Linked DNA regions of Oryctolagus cuniculus. The protein of the gene in region 2 interacts with the protein of the main gene of each other region in a pairwise test. Links are inferred from orthologs where the notes say so. Each region holds a gene or a part of one and is shown on either strand. Other genes may lie near its edges.

The links.
Region 1: the proteins of PRKAR2B (region 2) and TAF12 interact in binary tests that used the Homo sapiens proteins (3 or more experiments, as listed by UniProt). The two-hybrid records come from large-scale screens. The link is inferred for Oryctolagus cuniculus from reciprocal best matches to the Homo sapiens genes PRKAR2B and TAF12.

Annotation. Positions count from the first base shown.
Region 1 is NC_091438.1:143,056,115-143,062,207, reverse strand, and holds the start of TAF12 (transcription initiation factor TFIID subunit 12), read right to left. Parts: upstream 3,615-6,093; 5' UTR 3,468-3,614; intron 1,106-3,467; exon of another isoform or gene 1,004-1,105; intron 1-1,003. UniProt on the Homo sapiens protein: The TFIID basal transcription factor complex plays a major role in the initiation of RNA polymerase II (Pol II)-dependent transcription.
Region 2 is NC_091434.1:137,197,658-137,203,503, forward strand, and holds the start of PRKAR2B (cAMP-dependent protein kinase type II-beta regulatory subunit), read right to left. Parts: upstream 4,137-5,846; 5' UTR 3,974-4,136; coding exon 3,658-3,973; intron 3,506-3,657; exon of another isoform or gene 3,284-3,505; intron 1-3,283. UniProt on the Homo sapiens protein: Regulatory subunit of the cAMP-dependent protein kinases involved in cAMP signaling in cells. Type II regulatory chains mediate membrane association by binding to anchoring proteins, including the MAP2 kinase.

The sequences.
Region 1 (6,093 bases), on a different chromosome or scaffold from region 2:
GTGTCAGTAGAAGGCTGAGAGAGATAATGTAGAAGACCCAAATCCAGAGGGCTGGATATCATCTTTGGCCAGAGTTTCTACATATATAATTAAGAACTGGAACAAGCAAATTCTAAAATCCCTTCTGGCTCTAGCAATCGGTAAGATTCTAAATTACATTGATACATACAGATTTCAACGTCTGTCTGACACATCTGTTTCACAGTGCAGATTTTCAGCACTCCTGCTGTACTGCCTCCAAAGTACATCAGGGCTTTCCATGAAGACCTCTGACTAAAGTAACATGTCCTATGTTCATTTGTTCTTTTTTTTTTTTTTTTTTTTTTTTTTTTTTTTTTTACAGGCAGAGTGGACAGTCAGAGAGAGAGACAGAGAGAAAGGTCTTCCTTTTGCCGTTGGTTCACCCTCCAATGGCCGCTGCTGCCGGCGCACCGCACTGATCTGAAGGCAGGAGCCAGGTACTTCTCCTGGTCTCCCATGGGGTGCAGGGCCCAAGCACTTGGGCCATCCTCCACTGCACTCCCTGGCCACAGCAGAGAGCTGGCCTGGAAGGGGGGCAACCGGGACAGAATCCGGTGCCCCGACCGAGACTAGAACCCGGTGTGCCGGTGCCGCTAGGTGGAGGATTAGCCTAGTGAGCCACGGCGCCGGCCTCATTTGTTCTAATTCTAACACAATGATTATCTGATCAGGTACTCTGAAATCCTAGTATAATAAACCAATGCTGTGGTGGGGGGGAGCCATTGTAATCCATAAGCTGTACTTTGGAAATTTATATTCATTAAATAAAAGTTAAAAAAAATAAAAAAATAAACCAATGCTGGACCACAAATGAAGTGAAAGAGAACATTTTAAATATGCAGATGAGAATGTTAACTCAGGAATAAGTTTTTTCTATCTTGAATATCTATGCTTCTGTGAAAACACATTTTAGTTCTCCTTGAATATTATACTACATATGTACCCAAATCAGTTATAGTCCTTTTTTTATGTTAATATTTTTAAAAATATGGAATGCTTCATGAATTTGTGTGTCATCCTTGCACAGGGGCCATGCTAATCTCTATCATTCCAATTTTAGTATATGTGCTGCCAGAGCGAGCACAATATAGTCCTTGATATTAACAAAATTTAGAAGGAAGGTGTTGGAGTTTGTGGCATAATGAGTTAAGTCACACTTACAATGCAGAAATCCCATAGCAGAGTGCAAGTTTGAGCTCTGGTCTATCCATTTCTGATCCAGCTCCCTGCTAATGCACCTGACAAACAGAGGAAGATAGGCCTCTGTCTCCCATATGGGAGACTGGGATGGAGTTACTGGCTCCTGGCTTCTGCCTGGCCCAGCACTGGCCACTGCAGCTATTTGGGGAGTGAACTAGCAGACGGAAGATCTCTTTCTGTCACTCTGGCTTATAAATGAATAAGTTTTTTTTTTTTTTTTTAAGGAAAGTGCTTTCATTCAATAATATGCTTGTATCACTATTACTTCTGTTTTGTTGATGGGCAAATCAAGACATGAAGAATCCATTTAGAAAAGTAGAAGCTGTAGAGACACACAGAATTGGGGCTGGCTCATTCAGTCCTATTCAATTTCAGGCAAAATGCTTAACCTCTCTGAACCTAGTTCTTTATCTGTACAATGGGACTAACAATATCTAATTTGTGGGGCTGTAATAATTAAGTGACACAGTAGGTGAAAAGTGCTTAAATGGTACCTGGTTAGTCTGAGTAGGTTTCAGTAAAAGAAAAAAAAATACTATTATTAAAAAGGAGAAGTAACTGGTCAAGTCTCCACACCATCCTTATTTAAAAACAGCCATCCCTTGTGGTGCAGTGGGTTAACTTGTCACCTGCAAAGCCAACATCCATTATGAATGCTGGTTCAAGTCCCAGCTGCTCCACTGCCAATCCAGCTCCCTGCTAATGCGCCTAGGAAAACAGGAGAAGATGGCCAAAGTGCTTGGGCCTCTGCCACTCATTTGGGAAATCCAGAGGGAGCTCTGGGCTCCTGGCTTCTGCCGGGTCCGGCCTTGGCAGTTATGGCCATTTGGGGAGTGAACCAGTAGATGGAAGATCTCTCTCTCTCTCTCTCTCCCTTTCTGTAACTCTTTCAAATAAATAAATCTTTAAAATAAACAAACACAGCCATTCCTAGTAAATATTTTTGCTATAAATGTAGGGCACAATTTTCTAGATAGCTTATTTTAAAATAAATAAATAACATTAGGTTTCATTTAAAAGTTTTCTTACTGGTGACATTCACTGTTTCAATGTCAACACACTAAGACTCAAAATAAAGCATTAGAATCTATCAGAATCTTCCTCCTGAGTCTGAAGAGAGAACAAAGATTCTAGAAGCACTTTCCAAGGAACATTAACCAAGCGTCTCCTATTTACCGTCCACAGGATACTTGATCAAAATTATGCTCTAAGTAACCACTGTCTCACTGTGACTCTAATCCCTCTTTGGACTTCGGGTCCCTTAAATGTAAACTAGGCGTTGGAAAGAGATGGTCTTTTGGGGCTCTTCCATCTCTGATATTCTTTTATTTGAGATACAGAGCTCTGTGCTCCGTCAGGGTTTAGTGGAAAGAAATTTAAAGCACTTATCAAGTATACAACTGGGTTCAAAGTGTTTTCAACTTCACATCCGATTCGCAAGAATGAAGCAGAAAATGAAGATGCTTCTATGTGGGCTTCCAAGATTAAGTATCTGACACACACAAGCCTGCCAAAAGCCAAGCAGGCAGCGCGAAGGAGGACTCCTCCTCCCCTGAAAATAGAAATGTATACAGAATACATATATCCATCCCTGTATCCTTTAGCACTCTGGGTCAGAGACTACTTGCAAACGGATCACTCTCTTTCCCCAGTCCTCTCTCTTTCCCTTGAAGGCTGATCGCTTACACCCACAGCCGCTTCGATTCTCCGCTTTTAAGGAACTCGGATCCTCACAGCCCCGTTCCTTCCGAAACTTGGAGTCTCAAAGCCCGGATCGCGTGCCCACAGAAGCCCCAAGTCTTCTCCGCCAGCTTCGGCCCCTCAGGAAGCTAAGTCTTCGCAGCCCACCCCGGGTCTTCACGGTCCCGCTCCTGCCTCCTAGGAGCCCGAGTCCTCACTACTCCACTTTCACCTCGCCGGAGCCCGTGTCTTCACGCGCCACTCCGTTCCGACCCTTTCTCCTCTCAGGAGCGCGGGTCCTCACAACCCTGTCCCTCTCAAACCTCTCTCCCTTAGGTGCCAGGGAACTCGCATCCGTCCCCGTCTCCTAAGTCCCGTCGGCAGCCCGGACCCTCACAGCCGCGTCTCCTCCGAGCGCGATCCCCTTAGTCCCGTCCCAGGAGCCGGATTCCTCACAGCCCCGTCTCCTCCACAGCCTGGTCCTTCAAACAGTGACCCACTGTGGGTCTGGGTCCTGACTCCCTCCTCCCGCTCTTCTTCCTCTACTGCCAGGGCCCAACACTCACAGGCAGCAGCGTCTATCTCCCCATGATATGCGGAGACTGCCCCAGTGAAGCGTTCGTCTCAGCAGCCGGTCCGACTGCGCGGCCCTCCCCGAGTACTTCCGGCACCGCTCCCCGCCTCCAACCCGGAAACGCGCGGCTCTTCCGGCCGGCGGGCGCGCGCCTGGCTTGCGCAGGCGCACACCGTCCTCCGACATGCGGTCGCGGTGCAGGGCTGGAGCTCAGCTTCGGTGGCCGCCGTTTTTCCCGCGTGCGGTTGTCTGGCAGCGTGGGCGAACGCTGTGTCTTCTGCCCTGGCGTTTCGAACCCTGCCCTAGGTGTTGCTTCCAGACACTGTTTGTATCACCCGGTAGCATCATCGATAACTGATGCCCTTGGATGGCTGTGAGGTCGCCATTTTTGGTTAATGCCTTTGTCGTGGCATCAGGACGGGGGTGTCACCTGGGACTGCAGCATGCTGTGTGTATTTTTTTGGACTCTTGCCGAGGAGTTGGCAACACAGTAACCTGGAGACGACAGACCGGTTCTGCCTGTGAATTTGCAGTGAAGCGCTTATTTTCCGCTAGCAAACAGTGCTAAGCCCCTACCTCCCATATGTCATTTAATTATCTAGAGGGAGCCCGTGAGAGATTAAGCCGGGGTCTGGCTGATAAGGTCAGAGCCTTAACTTGAACTCAGAACTCCCTCAAGCTTGGATGCCTTCAGTTCTTTCCTCTGCCAAATACTTTATGAGAACTGCTGTATTTTTGCTAGTTGTAAGTTTGTAAGCAAGACCTGGTTCCGGCATCCGTGGGTTCAGAGTAAGACGCGTGCGTGCGCGTGCATACACACACACAGGGCTGTGGCAGGAAGGGCTGCCAAGACCGGTGCAGCAACCTGCCCTCTTTGTCTTCCTGTCTCCCACCCTCATCCCACTACACTGCCGCTGGGTTTACAGTAAGAGCTTCGTCACATTAGGCTTTCGGCTGTCTGCCTCGCGTTGTTTCCCTGTCTGCTACATTCATTCTTTTTAGGGTCTGGCATATCAGTTTTTGTTGTTGAACTGTACATCTTTTCAAGGCCCAGTTTGAATGTATGTTCATTCAGCAAATGAGGCTGACGTGGCTCAACAGGTTAAGCCGCCCGTGGCGCTGGTTCTAGTCCCAGCTGCTCCACTAATAATCCAGATCCCTACTAGTGTGCCTGAGAAAGCAGCAAAAGATGCTGCTCTCCTTGGGGCCCTGCACCCGCATGGGAGAGCCAAATGCCAGATGGAGTTCCAGGCTCCTGGCTTTGGCCTGGCCCAGCCCCGCTGCTGCAGCCATGTGGGGGTGAAGCAGCGGATGAAAGATCCCTCTCTCTCCTTCTCTAACTCTGCTTTTCAAATGAAATCTTAAGTTTGTTGAATCTGTGTGCCACGACTTTTGCTGTATGTACTGGTGGGTAAGAAAGACAATATCCTTGTGAGTTTACAATCCAGGGTGAAACAGAGCAAAAGATAAGAGGAGAGAATACAGGAAAAAGCCAGACATCTAGCTGGGCCACGGAGTACTCTGAGCCAAAGCCCTTAGTGAGAAAAAAGCTCCTTCCAGGACCAAGATGGCTAAGGTGACTGAGGCTGAACAGCTGGTGGGAAGAGAATGCAGTGGAGAGTGAACAGTCTTGTTTCAGACCAGACCCTGTAAGTAATGGCGAAGGCTGGACTTTTATCCATTATGCAATAGGAAGGCACTGGAAGGATTAACAGGAATGAAACTGTTTTTGTTTGTTTAGATTTGATTTATTTATTTGAGAGGTAGAGTTACAGACAGAGGTTCAGACAGGGAGAAAGGTCTTCCATCCACTGGTTCACTCCCCAGATGGCTGCAACAGCCAGAGCTGGGCTGATTGGAAGCCAGGATCTAGGAGCTGCTTCTGGGTCTCCCACATGGATGCAGGGGCCCAAGTACTTGAAGCATCATTCACTGCTCTCCCAGGCCACAGCAGGGACTGGATCAGACGAAGAGCAGCCAGGACAAGAACTGGAGCCGTATGGGATATTGGCACCGCAGGTGGAGGCTTAGCCTACTATGCCACAGTGCCAGGCTCATGATATTTTTTTAAGAGATAACACTACAGGAGCCGGCGCTGTGGAGCAGTGGGTTAACACCCTGGCCTGCAGTGCTGGCATCCCATATGGGTACCAGTTCAAGTCCCGGCTGCTCTACTTCCTATCCAGCTCTCTGCTATGGCCTGGGAAAGCAGTAGAAGATGGCCCAGGTCCTTGGGCCCCTGCACCTGCGTGGGAGACCTGCAAGAAGCTCCTGGCTCCTGGCTTCAGATCGGTGCAGCTCCGACCATTGCGGTCAACTGGGGAGTGAACCAGTGGATGGAAGACATCTCTCTCTCTCTCTCTCTCTCTCTGCCTCTCGTTCTGTGTAACTTTCAAATAAATACATAAATCTTTTAAGAAAATGGTTATGTACACAATGTATGTGTACACAGAAACAGTCTGGCAAAATAAACACTAAACTGTTAGTAATTTGAGTTAAGTATTTCATATTTCATATAATTTCAGCACTATTTCAATTTCTTTATAATTATTTTATCTTTTACATTAAAAATGAAGTAAATGTGAATGATTCCATTTTTATACCATCTGGCAAGGGTC
Region 2 (5,846 bases):
GTAGAGCTAGATATAAAAGGGATACTCAAGTTATTCTAGCCCCAGCCCCTCCTGAAGACACAACCTGGGAGTCAAGAGGCCCATCTGGGTCCCAATCCCCGGTTTTATGGCACAGTACTGTGAAATAATGGCCATTCTCAAAAAGCTGCGATAGTGCATTAAAGCATTCAGACAGTGCCAGCACACAGCAACTGTCACTAAATGACAGCTTTTTTTTTAACTGTTAAGACAAGGAGATACTATCACACTGTTAATCAATATTTCCCAAAGTATGGTCAGGGAACTAGATACAGAATGACCTACATGTCTGCTGGGGGAAAAAAGATACCATACAACATCCCAACCTATTCCAAACAAAGTTCTCTAAGAATGGTACCAAGGAATGTTCAGATATGGAACAAATTTCCTGGACATGCTTGGGAGATTTTTAAGAATTATTGATCTAGCAGGTCTCACGCCTCACTGGTACCACAGAAAATGAAGCCTGTCTTCCAATACATATTCTCACTATACCAGAATTACCCAGTGCCTGGGGTTTTTGTATTTTGACACTTCTGAACACTGACATAATTAAACTGATAGCTTTGTAGGTGTTAGGCTCACTCCTGATACGATTCCCCCCACAATGCCCTCCCAGGCACTACCTCAACTTTTTTTTCCCCCTCTGACCAGGTCTCAGCTCCAAAGGCCACCTTAGCTTGCAGCCAGTTTTGTCCAATCCCAATTTTTATGTTAAAAATTAAAAAAAAGAAAAAGAAAAATATGACTCAAACCATATGATGTTCACAAAGTCTACCATTTATTATTCGGCCTCTTACGAAACAGACTACTGACTACTTTGTTGAGACTACACTTGTTTTGAAACCTTGGGTCTCATCTCAACACAAATTATTTTAAAAGGAAAAACAACAACAAAAGAGAGAGAGAGAGAGAAACTTGATTAGACCAGAAAATATCCCAAAGCACTGAACCTAACAGAAGAAAGTGCTGCTGCCAGATCCTGAGCTGCACAGATATGGGTGAGGGTACTGCGGAAAGCTCGTGGAGTGCGCGAGTTGTGGTACAGGGGGTTAAGGCTGCCACTCAGGACACTGCATCCTGTAGTGGATTCCTGGTTCTGCTTGGCCCCTGAGCCAGCTTCCTGTTAATGCACCTGGCAGGCAGCAGATGAGAGCTTGGGTCCTCCAGTCCCTGCCACTCACCCCAGAGTTCTGGCTGGGATGTCTGGCTCCTGGCTTCCGCCAGCGCATTCAAGGAGAGAACCAGTGGATGGAATACCTCTGTCTCTGTCACTCTGCCTTTCAAATAAATAAGTAAATCTTTTAAAAGATAAAACCCTTTTTAAATTTTTATTAAAGATCTTACTTATTTATTTGAAGTCAGAGTTACAGACAAGAAGGGTGCGACAGATCTTCCATCTGCTGGTTCACTCCCTAGATGGCCGCAATGGCCAGGGCTCAGCCAAGCCAAAGGTGGGAGCCAGGAGTTTCTTCCAGGTCTCCTACAAGAATGGCAAGATCCCAAGCACTTGGGCCATCTTCTGCTGCTCTTCCCAAGCCATTAGCACGGAGCTGGATCACAAATGAGCAGCTGGGATTCCAACCAGCGCCTGTATGGGATGCCGATGTCACAGGCAGTGGCTTTACCCACAGTGCCACAATGCTGGCCCTCAAATATTTTTTAAAAGCTCACAGAAAAATTAAAAGTATGAGATTACCTCGGAAAAAAAATTGAAATCCATGTGCAGTTTTTTTATAATAGGCATTTACAACTTAAGAAAAAAAATTTTCTTGCACAAAATAAACTCATACTTTGGGTTCTACTTTTCCATAATTTTTTGCAATTCTACTGGGTAACGATCAAGTTGTAGTTGCTTGCAGTCAAAAAGTTTTAAGTTCCTTGGGGAAAAGTCTGGGAGATAAATGGTACAATGGCTTAACAGGTATTTATTAAAACCCATATTAAGCAATTTTTACAGTAAAGGTGCCCGGGAGAAAATAAAACTACATAAAACGGTCCCTGCAGTTTAGAAGTTCATGGCTTATTTCTTTATTGCAAAATGAAAACTACGTATGTGCTGTGCACACTATACAGTAATGTAAGGAGAAAACATTACTATATAGTAACACTATATAGTAATGTAAGGAGAAAACAAGGAAGCATCAATGCAAATACTTTAAAAGCACACAAACAAAATATACTAGTTATGTTCGCAATATATGATATAGATTCTTTACCAAGTCCCTTCGTTTCTTCTAATCTGGGAAACGAGCCCTTTTTTCCTTCCTGTGTGTGCACGTTCATGTGGACATGCGTGTGTATGCGTGTGTATGCGTGTGTGCACGCCTGCACTGGGAGCATAAAAGAAGTATCTGATGCCTCTGCCCTTTCTATGTCATCCATTACTGGCTTCTCATCTATTTAAAACATGCATTCTTTCATCCTGCTCTCCTTTCTAGCAAGAAAAGCATTTAATTCTTATGCAAAAAGAACAATTAAGACAATGATTATCCTATCCTGGAAAACGCTAAAAAGTAGAAAATCAAAACCTTAAGTGCCAATGTTTCCTTTTATCTCCACAAAGCACTAATTTCCAGGGGTTTGAGGGGCTGCTTTGCACAGGCTCAAATGCATGACTTTACAACCCATTCCAACACAAGGAAATGAAAGGACACTTTAAAATGTTTTTTTCTTCCACCCAGACGAAACCCGCTGCCGACACACAAACCACAAGCAGCGCACATAAATAAGAGCTGGTGCAATGCTGCACGCACGTTTGCCTCACACCACAAAGAGGACGGTACATTTGCACACCGAGGTGTGTCAGCTTAGGATGCCATAAAGAAGGGAGATGTGTGTCGATGCGAGTGTATCTGCGTGTCAGGGAGAGAGCGTTGTAAGCAGAAGGGGTGGGACTTGCCAGGAGCAGCTATTTGAGAAAATCCCTCTTTCTTCCCCATTCATTCTTTCCAGCTTTGCTGCCTGGCACGGTCCTTACAAACACTCCCTGGCTTTTCATCCTAAAGAAACCGACAAGCCTTCTGAACTTCCCAGGGTGGTTTCCACACGCGTTATTTTATTATTATTTTAAGCACTGAATCATTCAATATGTGGTTTATACTTAAAAAATAAATAAATTTTTAAAAAGCCGGTCTTCGGAAGACCCTGTGGATTGCAAGCTAAAGAGATTCCTTTGTTGTGTGTCAACTAGAAAATAATAAATTACTCCGTTTCCAGGAATGCCGGCGCGAGAACCATAAATGTGGATCTACCCTCAGCGAGTGCCAAATTGCTTGCTCCTCACGGGAAACGCTGACGACGGCGTCCGCCTCTCCTCCCTGACACCCCCAGGAGGACCCCGAGAGGGCCAGCTTCCTTCACGCACCGCGGCACCCGCCCAGCCCAACACCTCGGACCCCGGCCCGGGAAGCCGCGCGCCGCCAGCTCCCTCCTCCAGACGGAGGAGGGCGAGGGGGAGGGCACGACCAGAGAGCAGAGGAGGAAGGTGGGCGAGTGGGAGAAGACAGAAATGGATGCTGAGGGGGTGGGCGCGACGGGAAGGTAGGGGAGGCGGGGACACGCGGGGGAGCCGGGCTGCGGCTTCACGCGCAAAGCCGGCAGCGGCGCGGGCAGCGTGCGCGGAGGGTCGCTCCTCACCGTTGAACGCCCCTGCGTCCGCGGCCTCCTCTTCCTCCTCCTCCTCCTCCTCCCCGTTCTCGGAGTCGGAGTGCGCGGGCTCCTCGGCGAAGTTGACCCCCTTGCTGGGGGTGCCGCCCCCGGCGGCGGCGCCCGCGTCCCCCCAGGTCCTGCCCTCATGGCCGAAGCGCGCGGCGCCCTTGCGCTCGTTCTCCTGCTGCAGGCGCGTGAAGTGCTGCAGCGCGAACTCCAGCAGGTCGGCGGGCTGGTGCCGCAGCACCTCCACCGTGAAGCCCTGCAGCAGCTCCGTCAGTCCCGCCGGGATCTCGATGCTCATCCTGCCTCCGGGGCGGCGGGCGCCCTGGCGCCGCCCTCGCCCCCTTCTCCGGTCCGGCCTCGGACCCCGCGGCCACCAAAGCTGAGCGCCGACGGCGCGGGCGGCTGCGAGCGCGGCGCACTGGGCCCCGGCGGCCCGGCTGGCCCGGCGCGCGGCTGCTCCGTGTGGCGGCGGCTGCTGAGCGAGCGCGGCCCCGGGAGGGCTGGCAGCATCTCGGGCTCCTCCCGCTCCCGCAGCGGCCGCGCCTCTCCCCCGCCCGGCGCCCCGCCCTCGCCTTCGCCCCGCCGCCGCCGCTGCCGCCGCCGCGCGCGCCCACGTGATCCCCGGAAACCATGGCAACTGCGCGGGCTGGAGGGCGGGCGGGCGCCGAGCTCCCGCCGCTCCCACCGCCGCGGGGCTGAGGACGCCGGCGGGCGCCGGCGCGCTGGCTGGCTGGGAGCGCGGCGCCCGCACGCGCCCGGGGCGTGGGCCCCTGCGAGGCCGCGTCTCGCTCCGCTGGTGGAGCCGCCGTGCGGGGCTTCCCTGGGGGCCGGCGAGTACTCGGATACCTCGGCCTCCGCCCACGGCAGGCGTTTTTCCTCCCTCCTGGCATCCAGTTGGGTCGTCGTGTCCGGTGGGAGACTGGACGGAGAGAGGCTCCCCGGTTTGGGGGGCATCCTTCTTGTTCTCTCACGCGTCCGTTCATCCTTTGCCGGGGCGGTCCCGCGGAGCGCGCCGTGCGTTTCCCGAGACACTTGGCAAAGTTGATGGCCTGCGACCCGGAGAGTGCAGCAACTTGGATAAAATGCCGTAGTCCAGACAGGTAGTCCTCGAGCGGGAGGAAAAAAGCGGTGCTGGATTAGTCGGTTCGTGGTTATTTTAGAACTTTCCCTGTTGCTTTGGTTTGCCATTAGGTCTCCAAGACCTTCAGTATTTCAGTATAAAGAGAAATAGGGCTACAGGTGTGTAATTTTAAAGTACAGCTCCTGGACTCGGAAAGATCTAACGTCTACAGTTCAGAGGAAAGAGGATTGGTCTTTTGTCCATGAAATATTATTTCAATGCCCACTGTTCATTTTCTGCGATGACCATATTGTAAAAATAATTCAAGCAAAATCACTTTTTTCTTTTCTGTTTTATTCACTTTTTTATTCTCCTCCCCCCCCCAACACAAAACAATAAATACATTTCCCAGGAAACTCAAAAGGCCATAGATGAGAGACGAAACAAACTAATCCCTTTTATAAAAATACACTTTTGTTTATGATCCGCCTTCTATTTACTCCATGAGTGAATGTATTTTTCCATTTCCATTTCTTATCAATTTCATACTAATGTTTTTAAGTGTAATAAGTAACTTTTAGCTATAGGCATCAGGCATTTTAACAAATAAAATACTGCAATCCCCGTGTGCCACTTCTTGGAACACAATATTAGTCAGACTCGGCGGCATAAGCATTATTATTTTTACAGGTCCAGTAATCTAAGATGGATTTGTGTCTGTCTGCATTTATAATGATGTTTGTGTTGATTATAATTTGCATTACTTGCATGTGGCAGAAAATGTAGTAGCTTAAACACGATCAAATGTCGTTTCTCTGTGATCACCAGGGCCCAGGCTCCAGCCAGCTCTTTGCTCACTCATCCTCAGTTTGTGCTCCAGGATGCCTGCCGCCCTGCAAATCGTGTCAGCCACATTTCAGCTATGAAAAAAGTAGGAAAGAGAAGGCAACCGTCTCTCCCCTCCCCAGACACTGACCCCGTAAGACAATCCGGGAAGTTAAACATAACCAACTCCTCATCTGTCCTCTGGGCCAGATTCCTCTGCACAGCCCAATGTGCTCTCCTTGCCGTTCCTCCATCAGGAGTTGAAGTCTTGCTTCCCCTCCCCAGG